Linked DNA regions of Oryzias latipes. The protein of the gene in region 3 binds, or shares a complex with, the protein of the main gene of each other region. Links are inferred from orthologs where the notes say so. Each region holds a gene or a part of one and is shown on either strand. Other genes may lie near its edges.

Region 1 (6,086 bases), on a different chromosome or scaffold from region 3:
CTGCTATCATAAGTCTACAACGACCACAGACATTTCACTGACCTTTGACCTTTGGTGGTGGCCGCCATCTTGAATTTAAAAAAAAGCACCTTTTGTAACAGATACAAATGAAAACCCGTCCAAGAGATTTTTATCTATCGTCTTGTACCTTCTCAGGCATCAATGACAAGCTACTAAAGAAAAAATGTTGGACTTAGAAGTTGTAGATTTTGAACGGCGGGGCAGACAGGCAGCGAAGGCAGGAGGTAGCGCCTGCGGGCCAAACAACGCTGCTCGCGACTTTAATTGTATATTGTCTTTAAATCTTTTGTTTAGGACGGAGGATTTTTGCTAGACAGTTAGTTGGTTTGGCATCGGTATAATAGTTTGAAAAACAAAATTTATGAACCTTGTCAAACCATTTAATTAGTACTTTTATTTAGATTTTTCTTTTTCATGTGTAATTAAATCCCATGTCATTTTCAGATTTCTGTTTTGTCTGAAAACCACACTAAAAGTTTTGCTCCCTAGTTTCTAGTTTTTATACCACTTGTTTATTATTGTAAACTTGGGAGAAAAAAAGCTGCAGCACAAAATAAAACAGCTTTGCTTTCCTTTCTGTAACAGAAGGTGATGACCTCCCACCACAATGTAAAATCCAATTTTTTTTCTGTTTTTGAATCTTTAGGATGGATCACTGGGAGAAAAAATAAGAAAAAGGGATAAGAGTTGCAGGAGCCTGGACTATTGATCCAATTTCTATGACCACAAATAATTCAAAGCTTAATAAGCCTATGCTTCAAGTTCCCATACCCTTTCAAGACCTGGAATGGCCTTGCTGTTACCTACAAATCACAGCTGCACACAAAGCTGCCCTCTCAGGGGTGATGTGTCTGTGACCACAGGAAAGCAAGAAAAAAAAAGAGTCAAAGTTGCAAGCTCCTGGAAAATGCAACAGTTTCTGTTAAGAATTTAGCCAGCCAGCTTGCAATATTTGTGGCACAGATTCTCCAGGGAGGTTGAGAATATCAAAAGGCTGTGCAAGAGTCTTCTCTGTAAAAGCTCTGGACAGGAGATCTGTCCTTAAAAGGTAGGAGATGGTAAATGATCCCTCCAACTGTCCTTTTTTTTTTTTTTCAAGGCTCTATGCCGGATAAGAAAGAGAAAATCAGTTTATCACCCAAGCCCATGCTGGGTTGTGTACATTTAATAAGGCCTTTTTTTAATGGGAGGGGGTGGAATTCTGTATATTTTTAATCATTTCTAAAATAAGAAAATCCAATTAAACTCGTATTGAAGTACAAATGAGAAGTCAACCTTTTTAAGATAGAGAATATAAAAGGGAAGGTATAGTTTTTCTATTTTAGACTTGTTTTTTGTGGTCTTCAAAGAGCCTGTGTTCATTACTGGATCTGATGAATAACATCAGTAAAAGCTAATTCTTTACTGTAGCTTCACAATATTCTGAGCAATTAAAGAGTTTTAGGTTTTCCTGCATTCAGGAACTTTTCCTTATCCAAGTTAAATTAGGATTTGTGTTTCTGACATTCATGTCACAGAAACAGGACTCCAAAATAGAAACAGATCTCTTTAAATTGTTTTCCTTCTTCTTACTAAAACAAAATATTTTTACAGAATGAATCATTCATGTCTATGAAGTCAATAAAAACCATAATTTTAGGCGAGACAACCTATTACAGACCCTGATCTGTCTTCATCTGCGGTAAATGAAATGGGGGGGGGGGGGCTGTCTCACAGAATGAATCCATCAATTGAACTAAGTTTAAACCATACAAGCACCATAAAAATATAAATAAATAAATGTGAGAATAAAGTCAAAGCTTTACGAACACAAAGTCGAAAAATTATGAGAAAAAAACTCATAAAATCCGAGTAAAAGAGTTGATTTTTTTTTACAAAAATTAAGTTATAGTTTTATAAGAAAATTAAAAAATTTTTGAGATGATTAAAGTTAGAAATTTATAAGGCAAAAGACTGCTGACAAAAATAAAAACAAAAACAAAAACATTGAAACAATTTTGGATGAGAGACGTAGAACCCATTGTAAGTGGATACTTCAGCCAAAAGGAAGTACTAAAGCTTTTACTGAGCTACTGTAAACTTATTGTAAGTATGAAGATATTAAAAAAAAATTTGAAGGAAACCGGACTTTTTCAGAAAAGGATTCTTTACCCACAAGGATCTCTGGTGGACGACCCTGTCATTATGCCCTCAGCAGTATAGATGCAGAGGTTTGAATGCATTAAGACACATGGATTCCTATGATAAACTAAAGTCTTATGACATCACCATAAATAGGTGCATTGTTGGATTTAATTGGTACATAACGTGGATTGAGTCTCAAACAACCATTTTTAATTCTGAAAAAGCTGGCCTTTTTCCTTGTTTTTTATTTATTCATATAAATTGTGACTTTTTTCTCATTTTGTAACTTTATTCAAGTACATTATCGTCTTTTTCTTAAAATGGTATGACTTTGTTCTTATATATCTTTATTTTTTTGTTTCTTGGTATACAAGAGTCAACACATAAGGAAACAGTTTGTCAAATATCCAATAAAACAGATAAATCCTAAAATCATATATTATATAAAAATGTACACAATTTTTTAGCTAATGCCATATTAAAAAAATATTTTACTACATGCATTGATTTTTTTCATCATTCAAATTGGAAGTTTTACTGTTTTTTCATTCTTTTCTTTTTTATTTTTTCTTTACTCCTAATATCGCACGAATATAAAAAGTAAAGTTCATGTTCAAATTTAACTGTTCCATTAACTGTTGCAGTTTTCACTTTGCTTTTTATTAATTGAATTGTTCAAAGACACAAAATTTTCTTAAGCCTTTTTTTTTGACAAAAAGTTATTTTTCCTTTCACTGAAACAGGTCACAAATGACCTAAGCTATCAGTTAAACATGCAGCACCCCGATGGAGAGGGAACCCCAACAGTCGAGTCTTTGTGCTGCTTGAGCTGTGATCTGCACTCACCACTGCATTCTCCATGCTGGCTCTCACTGTGAAGGCTTCTGCTTTTAGCTCCGTCCTCTTTTTCTTCCACATTTACCCGCGGTGTGTCTTCCAAACAATGTCCACAAAATTAAAACCAAACTAAAACAAACAAAAAAGAAAACAAGGAGTAATTTAACCTGGTAAACTGCTGTCCGGCTTAGCTACTGTTGACAAGTGGTTGCTAAGCAACTGGTTGTCACAAACATGTGTCCTGTTTCTACAAAGACCAGAAAGAAAATGGTTTCTCTTTAAATAAGGTCAAGATACCTTTAAAAATATATATACTTTGCAACTTTAATGATTAGAAAATTGAAAAAAGTATTTCAAAATTAAAAGTATGTCCTTTCTTCTAAGCAAAGAAGAAAAGAAACTTTGCAGAAAGCAATTTTAGAAGAACTTTGAACTGGTCTATGAGTCTTTTAACAGCTTGATTCAACCACTGCACTGAAACCTGAAAAAAGAGAACATTTTTGTAATTTTGGTTTTATTTTATTTTTTTAGCTTTAGAGATGCGGGAGAGCCTTTCTTCTGAAAGGAGGGCGCTGTGGAGAGGTCTGGGTTAACCAAAAAAATAACTTGTTTTTTTCTTCTTCCAACTTGTTCTGTCCAACAACTGAGCAAACAGATTAGAGCTGAAGGCCTTTTGTGTTGGACAGGTTTTACTATCACAAAAAGAGGTTATATATCTTCAAAAAACCAGAGTGTACATTTGTAGAAACCCCTTTTTGTTATTTATTATTTTTTATTAATTTGTTACATTTAGTGTGTGTGGGGAGGGAGAGGGGAAGAATGTTAGGTGGGAGGTGTTAGAGAATAAAAGGAAGAGAGGTGGAGAAAGTGGGGGATACAAGCGCTGATTTAAATAAGTTATTATTTTAAGCTTTGTAACAATTATACCAGATCTGCTGAGATGAGTAATATTATATCCAAAGATGATATTCTGACACGAAGATGAGCGGAAGATATCCGTCCATAAAAAATACATTTTTAACTAATTCGACAACAAAATTATTTTTATCATTATATTAATGTATACATTCTGAATTAACTGCACAGCTCCATATTTACATTTATCCAGGTATCTAACGGTTGCAAACAAAAAACTTTCATCTACAATGGGTTGTAAGGGATTTTGAATACATAAAATGCAATTTACATACTCAGTTGGGGTCAATCTAAAAAGAGTTTTGTTTTTTACGAGAAGAAAGCAAAGAACACAGCTTTTTTTTAAAGTAGCATCTAAAATAAATTCAGTTTTTGAAAAAACATCCTATCCTTGTTTCTTGTTATTTTTGTGGACTAAATGCCAAAGATTTAATAAAGCATTGATCCAGAAGAAAAAGAAATGTCCAGATTACTTTTTTAAAGTCATGGAATTTTAAAAGTGTTTTAACGGTTTGCGAGTTTTTATTTTTTCCTGTTCCAACTCATTGTCTGTTTGTTACCTGCTTCATTTTTCTTCTGTTGAAAATGTTCTATTTAAACTAATGAGCTACTACAGTGAGAAAATGACTTAATCTCACAGAGAATTACCTTTTTTTAGTGCTTCTGCCACAGCTCTCATGCCAGTCCTTTTTAAAAAGGAGAATCGATCGCACCCTCATCACTGTACTCAGGCAGAAGTAAATACTTAACGACGCTCCACGGCTGGCAGGTGGACCAAAGCCTAGACTTTCACTTTTAGAGCCGCCTTAGTCCTGACTCATTTCAATTTAGGGATCTGGCACTTTTAAACTTGCAATATCATTCTTGCCTCTGGAGACTTTCTTGGGTGAACCGGTGCAGCTGTTATTAATCTTCGGTGTACAAGCAATTTCTCTAAAAGCCCCCATTTGTTTTTTATGGCTCTATTGAGAGAGAACGGCATAGTAGCAGGAAGCGTGCCAGTAAACAAGCCATGAAAGGTTATGTCCCTGTCAGCATTCAGCTCTAGCCTCTCCTTTCTTCTTGCTTTCCAGATAATTAAAAAAAATAAAGGGTAGGGAGTTTTTAGAAAGCAAACTAACAAAACTAACATGCCAGGAGCAATTCATCTGGGCTGGAAAGGGATTCAAACGAGGCTCTCTGTCTCACTGCAGTGGGTGTGTCTACAGGAAAGGATTTCATTGTTTTCCAGGCTTTGCCATATTAACGCTACATGATAAAAATCTATCAGTGGTTGCAACTGAAAGATACATGTTGATGTTTCTTCCTCGGGCTATTGTGTCACCACGTTGGTGTACTCAAATGACGTACTTACATCCCGTTCAAGAAAAAAAACACAAGAATCCAGTTGCTTTCTGTGGTGGCTTCGAAAACAAGAAACAAAAGAAAAATAAGAAGACAAAATGTAAGTCACTTCAAAGAAATCTCAATACATTCCTCTGTGATTAATTTTTTTAATGCTATGTATCCTCTTCCTCCCCCTCATCATGTTCCAGGTTCGGCTCATTTGCATCCAGCTCCCGTTAGACGCGGAAACCATTGTCCAGTGTGTGGGAAAGCTGCTGTAATGATATCATTAAAGAAGAAACTGGCGCATACAAAGGAAAGAGTCAGAGAAGGCCAGGAAAAGAATCTCAGCAGGAGAAGGCTCACATTGAGTCCGTTGCTCACCAATTACTGTGAAACAAGACAAACAGCTATTAGAGTGTGGACCATTAGGCAGTAAGGAGAGCAGTCAGTGGCTGGTTGGCTTTAAATGACGGTCAGTTTGTAATGGCCAATCAGTTTTCTCATTCCTTTTGGTTTTATTGTTAATCTCTCGTATTTTTGTCACCTTATTGGATATTTTCTTTTCTTTATCACTCTACTGAGTCATACTGCATATTTATTATTAAGAGCCACATCATTTGTTCTGACGATTATTTGGTTTTGTTTTTATGAACCTTGACTGGTTGCAGCTCGATGATGTAATCCCTGCATTACAAAGATATAGCTGCACATGCCAAAATAGTGACTGTACAACTCATCCATCTATCTAGAGCTCTGGTTTCAAGCCTAGGCTTACTTCTTTCTGGACACCTCTATACACATATTTTACAGTTGTTTCAGGTAGGGTTAACAATGCAAACTGGTCCAGGAGGATTAAAAAT
Region 2 (5,986 bases), on a different chromosome or scaffold from region 3:
GTTTTGCTGAATGATGCAGGGCTGGATGTGCGTGAGATCATAAACCCTTCTAAAACCGCAGAGGAGATGGAGACGGACGTTAGAAGCCACAAGGACTATTTTGTTGGTAAGGAGTGACACTTTTGCTTCTGCAGCAGCACCAAGCAGGATGCTTAAGGATCCAGATTCCTCAGTCTGTTGGAGGAATGTCAGACTGCACTGAACCAAACCCAATTTCTTCACTTTGGTCCATTCCAGGAGGGCGACTCAATAGAAAATACGACTCCAGATGTTTCAGTGACGACTGCAGGTTTGGGATCCCGACGCCACATTTCAACGACGGGCGCATCGTTGGGAAAACCCTCAAATGGCTCGGAGAGACACAGAAGTGAGTCATAACATGACGAATGAAACAATGTGATGTTTGTTCTTCATTTGCTCTACTGACTTCATATGTTCAAGTCAGTCCTCTTCAATCTGATGGGATTATTTTGCACAGGTTTTATAATCCAAACCCCGTTTGGCAGAGATCTGGTACCAAGGAAAAACTGGCACTGGAGTTTGGAAAAGTTGAGAACATGTAAGGTTTTTTATTATTTATTTTTAGTTTTGACCTCCTTTGTGACCTGTTCTGTTAAATGTACGCAATATTTAAATTAATATCTTTTGCTTGCAGAAAACTAAATGCTCCACCGCTTCCAACCGATCACATTTTTGGAATCGTTGTGCCACCAGATTACACGGGTAGATCTGCTGATAAAAACAAAGACACATCCAAGAAAATAGTTGAAATATCTTCATGACGTAGCTCCTCCCTTCACAGGAGCTGGAGAAATAATCCACTGCGCAGAGCCGGGTCAGTACACCAGAGGTCGTGACAGCTGGAGTGGTCAGGTCCAAGCCCTGAGACACCACCTCAGGAATCTCAACTTCCAGAACTTTCCCTCTTTGATGAAGGCCTTCCAACATTATGACAAGGCAGGAGCAGGTTCAGCCTGATAGAACACCAGAAAAACCCTTTTTCACCTGTGTTCTTTAATGTTCTATTATCTAAAAGTAGAATGCAAAAAGGATAGACACCAGATTGATATCGTTTGTTAAAAATGTTGCTGTCCAAAAGTTAGTTATCTACATTTTTCTGTGAACCTGTAAATCACTAGAAAGGAAAGGAAATGATCGACAAGGACGACCTGAAGGCGGTCTTCCGTGAGTTCCAGCTGGATGTGAAGGAAGCGGTTGTGGATCAGCTCCTGGCCTACTGTGACGCAGACAAAGACGGACTTCTCAGCTTCACAGAGTTTGCTAACTTCCTCAACTGGAAGGACCTGATGCCCCTTCACAGCCAGAAGCTGCGCGGTCAGCGGAAAGGTCAGTGAGCCGCACGGCTTCTCACCGACCCAGGCTGGATGGAAGCAAACAGAAGTGTTTGCCCCTTTAAATGTGGGCAGAAGAGACGCATGTTAGGAAGCTGAAAAACAGGAAATATGGCTAAAAATGAGATGCGCCAAGTGCTAAAAATAATTATAATAATTATAATATTTGTTTTTAACTTAAAAATAAATAAAAACAAAATAGAGTTGATGGTATATGTTAATAGTGCTCACTTGGATTTTGTGAATTTTTAAATAAATGCAGATTTATTTAATTTATCTTTGGGTTTTTCTTTTCAGTACCAAGAAACTTCACAAAGAACAACAATTTACAAAAAAGTTGAATGTATACATAAATCATCAAAATACTTTCAATAGTAATTCTGTATAAATATTTACACATTTGTAAAGACCAATTATGCCATGGTAAACTAACTGGACAAAATCATAAAATATAAACTTTAGCCCCACCCCCTTCACTTGTTGCAATGGTTTGCTCCAAAGGCTCCCAAACACTGTTTTGTGACTCTGCAGCTTTTTACTCAGCTTTGCTGCCAAAAAAAGCAGGTAAACACGATTTAATTAATTTATTTGACTTTTATGAATAACCACATAATTGTTTTAATGCTATAAAGCATTCATTGTTTTCCTGTTTCTTTATTATAGTATCTTCCACCAGTATTTGCCGCTTAACTCCTTTTACAACTTTCAGCTATTTTAACCATTCAACTATTAAAATATTCAGCTTTTTCCAGCTGTGACTTTTGGTCTTTCAAATCCTTGAACCGTTTAAGATATTCCAGGAAGGATGTTTATTGCAGGTTTTTTTTTTTTTTTGTTGACACAGAAACACACAAATATACTTTTTCTCCAGAAAACATTCAAATATAGGACAGCGTCTCTAACTGTTGTCGTCTCATTTGGCTGCTCAAACGGGTCCAGCTGGAGTCTATGAAACCCTGGTGTTTGTGGATTAAATGGAAAAATTCAGGAAGGTTTCTCTTAGATTTCTATATGCTAACATAATATGTTAGATTCAATAAAACATTGTTTTGATGGTTCAAATATTCTGTTGGTTGAGATTCTTCTGACATTTTAGGATGTTTGTTTGCATGTTTGGAGTGACAGAACGGGATCGACAGGTAGTTCCTGAGTTTTTGCCCCGCAGCAACGATTTAGATATCTGTGGAGTCTGTGTCCTGTCATAGTCTACGTGTTCAGTTTTCTAGCTTGACGTCATGAAGACTTTGGCAGCTCGGACACAGATGTGCTGCCCTCATAGATGGTTTACAGGCTGGAAACAGAGCTTTAGCTTCCACTGGGCTTTAGTGTTGAACAGCCTGTCAGCTGTCAGCTGCCTGGATGATGGGAAGTGGACCGTACATGGCCTGCATAATAGTCTGAGTTAGAACCGGCACTGCTTCAATGAGCTAAATACCTGCATAACACGTTAAACAGTGCTGAGAAATGTTAGACCGGCAACAAAAATAAGCAAAAACATTCAGAAAAAGATCACGTTTTAAATGTTTGTTCAACCGAAAATGCATCTGAATTTTTCAAAAAAATTACAAAATAAATTCTAAATGCTTGTTAAGTTGGAAAAGTGCTGAAATCTGCTGTCAGGACCACAAGTGACGAGCTTTTCAGTATAAAATCTAGACGTTCTGAAAAAAGAAATCAAAAAGCACGTGAAGCTTGATCCTGTGACTACTGAAAGTTTGAATATTGATTATAGGTAAATGAATAAAACTTATATGGTTATGAAAGGCCAGAAAATTCACATCTAATCCTTTGGCTTTCAAAGTCGTTACAAAAACGGAATTGATAGCAGAAAGATTAAAGTATCTGAAAATAGATGCTAACAAGATAAAAGTATTTCTGTAACCTTTTCTGTTTGATGGTGGAATTCTGTTTATTAAGGGTTTTAGTAAGACTCCTGAACTCCTGCAGAACCCTCAGGTTTTGTTCATCCTCTGATTTCTCCTTCCACTTTTTGCACATAATCTCTTTGCACGGCTGAATTGTTTGTCTTTATGTTGCGTCTGCCTCACTAACCCGTTTTGACTTGTCTGTGTCCTTCTATTGCTTGTAATGTTTAGATGCTGTTTTGTTTTGTGGCCGCAGGAACTTAATTTTGCTCTGCAGTGCATCGTCCATGCTGTGCACGAATGACAAAGAATTCTGAGTCTGAATAAATCTTATGCAGGAGTCCTGCACGTTTTGCCTATTTTGAGAAAGCTTCTGTGTTGTTTTTCTCTTTCTTAGAACATCAGTCCTGCCCATCAGAACCAGCACAGCAGCTTCTCTTTCAGGCCTCGATCAAGCCTGAAGATCCGGAGCCAGTTAGACCCGGCAGCACCGAGAAGCCCATCAAAACACTGACAAGAACAAGCGCAGCTCCAGACCAGTTTATGACCTCCTCCTCTCTCACCGGGGCTGTCAGTCACACATCAAGTCAGTCCAGGGAGAATTTAAGTACCAAACTCTTTTCTTTTCGTTCTTTTTTTCCCTTCATTTTTGTGTGTTGTGCCTTTCCACAGATAGCCGCACATCCGGCGTCCCATCTGTTCGCTCCGATCTTCCAGCTCCACGCCTCAAGAGGATGGGCGACACCACAAACTACGGAGACTCGTCCACAGCAGCAGATCTTCTACATCCATCAGTTCACGCCCTCAGAGGAGTTCATGAGGAGCACTTCCTCTGTCCTCGCTCCAAGGAGGAGGTAAAGTCTCTCCTCTGGTTGAAGGATGCTCGTCTGTCTCTGAATGCTGGGATTTGAACGAAATTAATAAAGACTTCTCACATATATGTTGACATTTGTGGATCTGCCTCTGCTAATCCTTGGATTCAGATAATCTGCTCAGTCCTCTTTGATTATTGTGGTGAACTTTGACCTAATTAGACGGGTCTGCTCGTTGAGCTGTCTTTAGAAATTTCTAGGCACTTATATTTTTACATTACAACTCGTTCAGCATCTTGTTAGATTTTGTTTTCTGTGTATTGAAGCGAAGAAAGTGTGATTTAAAAACGACAGAAAAGTGTTTATTTTTGACCTTTTTTCAGATTTCAGAGATCTTCAGGAATGTTGGTGTGGACATTTCAGAGAAGACATTTGAGGAAGCCTGGACGCTGGCGTCCATGAAACGTCCAAACAGGGAGGTTTGTGTGGAGACTTTTCGTAACACACTAAAGGAAATAAAAGCAATGTAACGTCAGCGTATTTTCTCTTTATCGGATATTTCTCCATTTTTAAGTTTAATGAAAGCAAATGAAGTCAGAAATCCACAAAGAAAAACACATTTTCATAGAATAATCTCTAATTTGTCAGATGGATCTTTATGGGGAACGTCGCAGCCTGTTCCTGAATTAAGTGCCTTCAATGATAGGAGTTATGAATAAGTATGAGTGTCGAAGATCATAACTCTGGTATTTTTTTTATAACGTAAAGTTCATGACAATAAATTTACCTTGAATAATTACGTAAATCTTTAACTAAACATCATTTTTGTCTATTTTTGTTCTTGCATGTTGAAAATGGGGAGCATGGATGCATTTAGTTTTTGTTCTTGTCAAAAAATAAAATAAATATTTTTATTCAAACTTTTTTTTTTCTCATAAAGTTTCTGTTTATGGAAAGACAAAATCCTAATCTAGAAAACATTTAAAAAGATGAAATCCTCATCTCACTTTTCAGTAAAGCCTTACGCTGCAAATGATTCAGACATCCAACAGATGAGACACTCATTAAAGGACAAGAACCTTCCAGTATTGGGGGGCGGTGGCCTCCAACCTTTAATGTCAAACAGTATTTTCCCAGACCGGTCTGTACAGGCCTGAAGTTGGAGTCTGAATTTATTTTTGGCCTCCAGCTTTTCTTAACTTTTGAGAGTTAAGTTTATCTTCATCCTTTTATAAAACATCTGCAGCTGCTTTAAACTTTATTCATACACTAAATAGCATGTAGGAACCATTAAAATGTGATTCTAACCCATAACTGTCAAAGTGGAAGCTAAAACATCAAACGCCAACTTCATGACCATGAATAAAAAAAATTCAAAAGTTACTAAAACTGGTATTTTCTAAACATAATAATAAATGTGAATCCACAGCTTGAACAACTGTATTAGCAGCATCCTTGTAAGAATAAACAGATGGTTGCTTAATATTCTGCATTATTATTATGGTCTGTAGGAACAACTGTCACAAATAATCCACATGTGGAGTAAAGACTCTTGGTTTTTGTCTGTTAATTGCAGCTTTCTTTTATTTTGAAGTCAAGGTATATTCTTCTGTTTCCTCTCTGGCTCTGCCAAAAGAATATGCGATTGTTTTTTCTTAACTTTGCGCTTTGGGGGCTTTTAAGAAAGCAGTGGATGAATTTTCAACCCTGTGACAGAGCGACTGTCAAGAACGAGCCGGATGTGGTGGAGAGAATCTAATCGTTTTTCAAAATAAAACTTCCTTAGTCCCACTGCCATAAACTCCTCTTAGCAGAATCCACTTCTCTCTGTTTAAAACACTTATAGTCAAAAAGAAACTAAAAGGTTTTGACATTGGAGTAAAGAAATCCAGGAAGACGGGGGGGACGTGGTCACCTGACAGGTGTGTGCGACAGCTGGTAGGGTCGCACCTTCTGA
Region 3 (6,086 bases):
CTTCATCCAGGTCATTCCTCCCCCTCTGATGCTGCCTCTCCAGCAGGCCAGGTCATACAAGATGGATGGTGCCAACAATAGAAGCTCAGGAGTTCTCCATCCCCCAAGAGCAGTGTTTTTCATGTTTTTAGTCAATAGGAGCTTCAATGGGAGTTTTAGTTGGAAAACCAAAGCTCACTGATCGTCGAGGCTTGTACTAAACAGGTAAACATTTTAATCATTGTTGTAGATAATATTCCCATAAATCTATAACTGAATCACTGCAGAAAGCCACAAGATCAAAGTCGTTTTGACTGTCCACTAGATGGCAGTGCTTCTCTTTTAAAAGCCCACACTGCCATCTAGTGGACAAAGTCCCAAACACATCTTCAAGTCCCACTTTAATGAAGAGGCATCTATAATTTCTGGTTTTAACATTTGAAAGTTTAATAAATTGATCTTCAGACTCAATGTCCAAATGTTAGGCACAGGACCCTATGCAGTGGGTGGTGCAATTCTCTGAAACACTGAAACATTTAAATGAATTCAAGGAGACCTTTGGATGTTGTTACACTTTAATTTGAAACACTGAAAGACTCAGGTTTACAGTGGCTTTAACTGTGTAAATATTTTCCAGGTGTTCTGAACTTTAACATGCATCAAGCAGGAAGATCATTTTTAAATTACACGTGAAGATCTGCAGACAATTTTCTTGAACTTGGGAAAAAAATGTTCTGACACAATCTTGCAAAGATTTTCTCTGCAACCAACTTGGAAATATTTTTCCTCTGGAACGAAAGGCAAATGCTCAAATTTGGAAAAACAAAGCAACTCTATTGAAGCTCTTCCTCGCCCTCCTCCTCAAACTCTCCCTCCTCATCAGCTGTGGCCTCCTGGTACTGCTGGTATTCTGACACCAGGTCGTTCATGTTGCTCTCCGCCTCTGTGAACTCCATCTCATCCATACCCTCTCCGGTGTACCAATGGAGGAAAGCCTTGCGCCTGAACATGGCTGTGAATTGCTCGGAGATGCGCTTGAACAGCTCTTGGATTGCCGTGCTGTTGCCGATGAAGGTGGCAGCCATCTTGAGGCCTCTGGGGGGAATGTCACAGACGGCTGTCTTGACATTGTTGGGGATCCACTCAACGAAGTAGCTGCTGTTTTTGTTCTGCACGTTGAGCATCTGCTCGTCTACCTCCTTCATGGACATGCGACCGCGGAAGATGGCAGCCACCGTTAGGTAGCGCCCGTGGCGTGGATCGCATGCGGCCATCATGTTTTTGGCGTCGAACATCTGCTGAGTGAGCTCTGGCACTGTGAGCGATCTGTACTGCTGGCTGCCTCTGCTTGTGAGGGGAGCAAAGCCTGGCATGAAGAAGTGCAAGCGGGGAAATGGAACCATGTTCACAGCCAGCTTGCGCAGATCTGCGTTGAGCTGACCTGGGAACCTCAGGCAGGTGGTGACGCCACTCATAGTAGCAGACACCAGGTGGTTGAGGTCACCGTAGGAAGGCGTTGTGAGCTTGAGGGTGCGGAAACAGATGTCGTAGAGGGCCTCGTTGTCGATACAGTAGGTCTCATCTGTGTTTTCGACCAGCTGGTGGACCGACAGTGTGGCGTTGTAGGGCTCGACTACAGTGTCGGACACTTTAGGAGAAGGCACTACACTGAACGTGTTCATTATGCGATCGGGGTATTCCTCCCGGATCTTGCTGATCAGGAGGGTGCCCATACCTGAACCTGTACCCCCACCAAGAGAATGGGTCAGCTGGAAGCCTTGTAGGCAGTCGCAGCTTTCTGCCTCCTTCCTAACCACGTCAAGGACAGAGTCAACCAGCTCTGCGCCCTCGGTGTAGTGCCCCTTTGCCCAATTATTTCCAGCACCACTCTGACCTGCAGAAAGGACAAACAAAAAAACATCAGCTGGCCTGCAGATGGTGCACAAAAAAATTAAAGGTTTACAAAAACTCACCAAAGACAAAGTTGTCAGGTCGGAAAACTTGACCAAAAGGTCCGGATCTCACAGAGTCCATGGTACCGGGCTCAAGGTCCACAAGCACAGCACGGGGGACATATTTCCCTCCTTTAAAGCAAAAGTGAAAAGGGGAGAAAAAACATTTATTTAGTAAATGCAAAACTTTATTAGGTTGGTGCAACAAATGATGTTCCCACCTGAGGCTTCATTGTAGTAAACGTTGATCCTGTCCAGTTGCAGGTCACTGTCGCCATGGTAGGTCCCAGTGGGGTCGATACCATGTTCATCACTGATAACCTCCCAGAACTACAAATGTACGAAATATTTGAGTTTGATCACATGTAGAAAAAATAATTACAGTAAAAGTTAGCATCCAACCCAGGAAAGATTTAGAAAAAAAACGAAAATCAGTTTCCGGCGAGGCACTTTCCCGCCTCTCCGAAATGGCGAGCGCGCGCCACGGCCCCCTATTGGATGACTTGCATATTTGAAACTTAACGGATACGTCATCAGCCGCCTCGTCGGCAATGCCGGTTGAATAGGCCTCAGTGAATAAAATTTGGCGGACTCGAAGATTTCTTTTTTTCTTAACCAGTAACTATGTTCAATTAACTCCATTAATGGCGGAAGTTCTTTTCGTCCGACATCTTGGAAGAAGCCATTGAAGTTCCGTTTTTTTCCCCCTCCTTCCATTTTGCTTCCCTCGCTAAGATCTTCGGCGTTGCACTAGGCCCGATTATCGCTACAAGAACGATGGATTACAGCAGTTACTAAATTAGAAACGGACAGAGTGAAAGTTGTTAACCCGAAAAATAGTGTTTTCAACAGACAAAGAATGAATAATTACATTAGGCGTTCATAATTATTACTATCGTAAATATATGATGAACATTTGAAATGCATGGTATTATAATATGCAATTTAAAAACTTTTCAATTAGGATTTTAAATGGAAACGGAAAAGTAGGACACGTTGTCTGGCTCCAGGGTGTGGTTTCAGGGACACAAAGCGCCGGATTTCAGAAAGGTGAGTACGTATTTTTAACAGAACAGAAATAAACATTTATTAGTCTGCCGTCTTGCTTACCTTGGCACCAATCTGGTTGCCACACTGGCCAGCTTGAAGATGTACGATTTCCCTCATTTTTGGTGGTTACAGGCGGAGGAGCTTACGATTCTGTCTTCTCATCTACCGTTAATGCGCGCTGTGCGGAACAACGCCCCACTTTATAAGCCACGCCCCGCCCCCGTATGTTATCTGGGAAATCCTATTGGCTAGATGCTTTGGAAGGGAAATGACGTCCAATCAAATCCAAAAGTGTCTCTTCGCTATTGGCCAACAGTCCCTGTCGTTCACTTCAAACATGAGCGCGTGAGCAAACCGAAATCCGCAGACGTCATTCATTTTTAATGGCGGAACGGAAATGCAGAGCTTTTTTGTTCGTGTTGCAAAGTAACAATCCGTCCGTTAGTTGTCTAAACTTTTCATTTGATTGAAATCGAGCTTTCTTATTCAAGTTGTTGAGGTGTTGTTTAATGCTATAAAAGACAAATATTCCCTGACTGAACTTGTATTGTTGTTAAAGAGAGTTTAGATCCACAAAAGGCGGTGGACAAAACACCAAAACCAAGAAGTTTTAAATTATTTTCATTTTATAAGGTTTAAAATGTTACATCCTGCTTTTTCTATGGACGATTGTACATTAAAAAATTTATTTGGAATTAGTTTTTACAACCCCCCCCCCCCCCCCCCCCTTGTATTTTATTATTATAATATCATTTTCCTAGTCTTTTGTAGATATGGTAATTAAACTTTCCCTTGATTCCATGTTAAAATTTTATTGTTGGCCAACATAAATATCTTTCTTCCTCTGCTTTGCACACGACTAGTGCTTACTAACCTTCTGAGTTCTTAATACCCTTCTATTTTTAATTTGTTTTTGTTTAATTATAATTGTTTTAGATTTTTTTTAAGTATTTTTCTGAAAGACACATAAACATATTTTAAATGAACACCAATGAGCTCTTCCAAATGTGACAAACTCACACAAATCATGTTCTGATTGTCTGACCTGCCTGTTAAGTAAGCTGAACAAAAATATATAAAAAAAAGTTTTGTTTCAGCTCCCATTTGTCCTGGACTCAATAAAACCGTCAGTATCTGGTGTGACCACCATTTGAATCGTGCTGTGCAACGCATCTCATTCGCATAAAGTTAATCAGGTTGTTGAATGGTGGTGTTGGGGTTATGGTATGGGCAAGTGTATTATGGACAAAGAACACAGGTGCATTTTATTGATGGCATTTAGAATGCACAGGGATACGATGACAAGATCCTGAGGCCCATTGTTGTGCCATACATTCAAGAACATCAGCTCATGTTGCAGCATGATAATTCACAGCCCCATGTTGCAAGAATATACACTTGATCTTTGCATGGCCAGCATACTCATCGGACATGTCACCCACTGAGCATCTTTAGGATGCTCTGGATCGGCGTACACGACGGCATGTTCCTTTTTGCCAATATCCAGCACCTTGGCACAGCCAGTAAAGAAGAGTTGACCAACATTCCACAGGCCATAACCAACAACCTAAACATTTCTATATAAAGGAGATGTGTTGTACTTAGGGGTTGCAACGATTTGTGGTCGCTGATTAGATTCACTTTCTATTTTGATTCATTTTAAACAATCCGATTTTATCCGATTCACTGACCTAAAATCAATCCAGGACATCTATTGCCAAAACCGGAGTGACGCAGAGATAAATACCTGGTACTTAACAGTCCATGTGAAGTTTTCCAGTTTCCTAGAATATTTTGCATGACAATCAAGTGTAAATTAAGTATGTGTACAAACAAACAAGCAAGTAAACAAGAATTAATAGCAAATCCATTCACATTTTGGTGTCATAACTTTAAGTCCACTGTTGTTTTTCTACATTAAAATGGTCCAAACGGAACATTATTAAACATTCCAGCACTCTGTATGGTCACAAGTCTTTGCAAAATTCAAAGTGTTTCCATACATTGGACTGGAAAGATGGCTTTATCATTTTTGCTGCCATCACGTGTGTGTTGTCCTCTGTGATGCACTCTGTTGTTTTTATGTTATAGTAAACTAATCTACCATGTCTAAACCTGTACGTATTTTCCAATTTCGATTCGAATATCGATTTATCTCATTTTGAAACGATCTTTTAATCGTAAAGGTCAATTCAAATCAATTCTGCCTCTGATAGATCGATCTGGTTTGATCCTAGGAATAGAAATCGATTCATCGATTCATTGATTATTGTTACACTCTTAGTTGCAGTTCATGAGGCAAATAAGATACTGACTAGTTTTCTGAATCATAAAACAATACAGCATGTTTCAGAGTGGCCTTTTATCGTGGCCATTCTAAGGTACACCCGTGCAATAATCTATCTAATCAGCATATTGCTATGGCACACCTATGAGGTGGGGTGGATTATCTCAGCAAAGGAAAAGTGTTCACTGTCAGATTTAGATACAGATTTGTGAAGAATATTTGAGAGAAATGGTTATTTTGTTTGTAGGAAATGTTTCGGATCTTTGAGTTCATCTCATGACAAATGGGAACAAAAGTGTTTTGTTTATATATTTGTTCTGGGATGTAAAAAAGCAATCTTTCCCCGTGCAGTATTATATTATTGCTGCAACACTGAGTCAAATTAAACCACTTAAAAAAATCACATTCTCACTTTTTATTTTAGTTTTTTATTGACATTTTAATTTATTACATGATCAACTGCATGAGTTAGAAACGACCTTTTAGACAACATAAAATTGAACATTGTCCCAAAAACTATGAGTGCATGAGAACCACAGCCAGTCTAACTGGACAAAAAATAAAAAGAACTGCATCCACAACAGAAGAAAAGGTGCAGGTTTTTCCCTGACAAAAAGCATGGAACCACCCACCATGTCCACCCAGGGTTTGCTTTCACCTGGTATTGTAGTCAGATGGGTGTAATTGTGTGTGTGTGGTAAAGAAAAAGAAACAAAAAATCACTGTCTGTGTAAGACTTTTTCATGACAACTTAAATATGTCTGTGGGTTTTGTATGTTTGAACATTGCACAGAGGCCCACATTTCAGGCTTGGCAAA

The links.
Region 1: the proteins of tubulin beta-1 chain (region 3) and pacrg are in contact, whole or in part, in a cryo-EM structure (PDB 7UNG), measured with the Homo sapiens proteins. The link is inferred for Oryzias latipes from reciprocal best matches to the Homo sapiens genes TUBB4B and PACRG. Residues at the interface, in NP_006079.1 of Homo sapiens: Glu194, Phe260, Pro261, Arg262, Gln291, Phe294, Asp295, Ala296, Arg306, His307, Gly308, Arg309, Tyr310, Val333, Lys336, Asn337, Ser339, Tyr340, Phe341, Gln375, Ser413, Asn414, Asp417, Ser420, Gln423, Gln424, Tyr425, Gln426, Asp427, Glu432; in NP_689623.2 of Homo sapiens: Glu40, Gly41, Phe42, Thr43, Val44, Ala46, Met47, Met48, Val53, Arg54, Gly55, Pro56, Pro57, Ala58, Ala59, Gly60, Ala61, Phe62, Arg65, Lys154, Arg160, Arg162, Arg191, Gln192, Pro195, Asn198, Ile199, Phe200, Asn202, Met203.
Region 2: the proteins of tubulin beta-1 chain (region 3) and efhb are in contact, whole or in part, in a cryo-EM structure (PDB 7UNG), measured with the Homo sapiens proteins. The link is inferred for Oryzias latipes from reciprocal best matches to the Homo sapiens genes TUBB4B and EFHB. Residues at the interface, in NP_006079.1 of Homo sapiens: Asp26, Glu27, Asp31, Pro32, Thr33, His37, Gly38, Asp39, Ser40, Leu42, Gln43, Thr55, Gly56, Gly57, Lys58, Ser78, Gly79, Pro80, Phe81, Gln83, Leu215, Lys216, Leu217, Thr219, Thr221, Asp224, His227, Pro243, Gln245, Phe270; in NP_653316.3 of Homo sapiens: Tyr523, Gly524, Val525, Gly526, Leu528, Ile529, His530, Asn531, Arg532, Tyr537, Arg539, Asp542, Arg545, Ala546, Ala549, Ala550, Arg552, His553, Lys556, Tyr608, Asn624, Phe625, Trp628, Asp630, Lys631, Thr686, Leu687, Leu688, Ser691, Asp692.

The regions. Positions count from the first base shown.
Region 1 is NC_019880.2:6,468,138-6,474,223, forward strand, and holds the start of pacrg (parkin coregulated gene protein), read right to left. Parts: upstream 3,209-6,086; 5' UTR 3,064-3,208; coding exon 2,992-3,063; intron 1-2,991. UniProt on the Homo sapiens protein: Microtubule inner protein (MIP) part of the dynein-decorated doublet microtubules (DMTs) in cilia axoneme, which is required for motile cilia beating. Suppresses cell death induced by accumulation of unfolded Pael receptor (Pael-R, a substrate of Parkin).
Region 2 is NC_019874.2:30,064,693-30,070,678, forward strand, and holds the end of efhb (EF-hand domain-containing family member B), read left to right. Parts: intron 1-19; coding exon 20-106; intron 107-237; coding exon 238-367; intron 368-478; coding exon 479-559; intron 560-655; coding exon 656-723; intron 724-802; coding exon 803-957; intron 958-1,139; coding exon 1,140-1,347; intron 1,348-2,186; exon of another isoform or gene 2,187-2,285; intron 2,286-2,340; exon of another isoform or gene 2,341-2,996; intron 2,997-3,614; coding exon 3,615-3,803; intron 3,804-3,889; coding exon 3,890-4,071; intron 4,072-4,412; coding exon 4,413-4,559; 3' UTR 4,560-4,944; downstream 4,945-5,986. UniProt on the Homo sapiens protein: Microtubule inner protein (MIP) part of the dynein-decorated doublet microtubules (DMTs) in cilia axoneme, which is required for motile cilia beating.
Region 3 is NC_019867.2:26,976,679-26,982,764, reverse strand, and holds tubulin beta-1 chain, read right to left. Parts: upstream 3,198-6,086; 5' UTR 3,099-3,197; coding exon 3,042-3,098; intron 2,262-3,041; coding exon 2,153-2,261; intron 2,064-2,152; coding exon 1,953-2,063; intron 1,874-1,952; coding exon 813-1,873; 3' UTR 537-812; downstream 1-536. UniProt on the Homo sapiens protein: Tubulin is the major constituent of microtubules, a cylinder consisting of laterally associated linear protofilaments composed of alpha- and beta-tubulin heterodimers.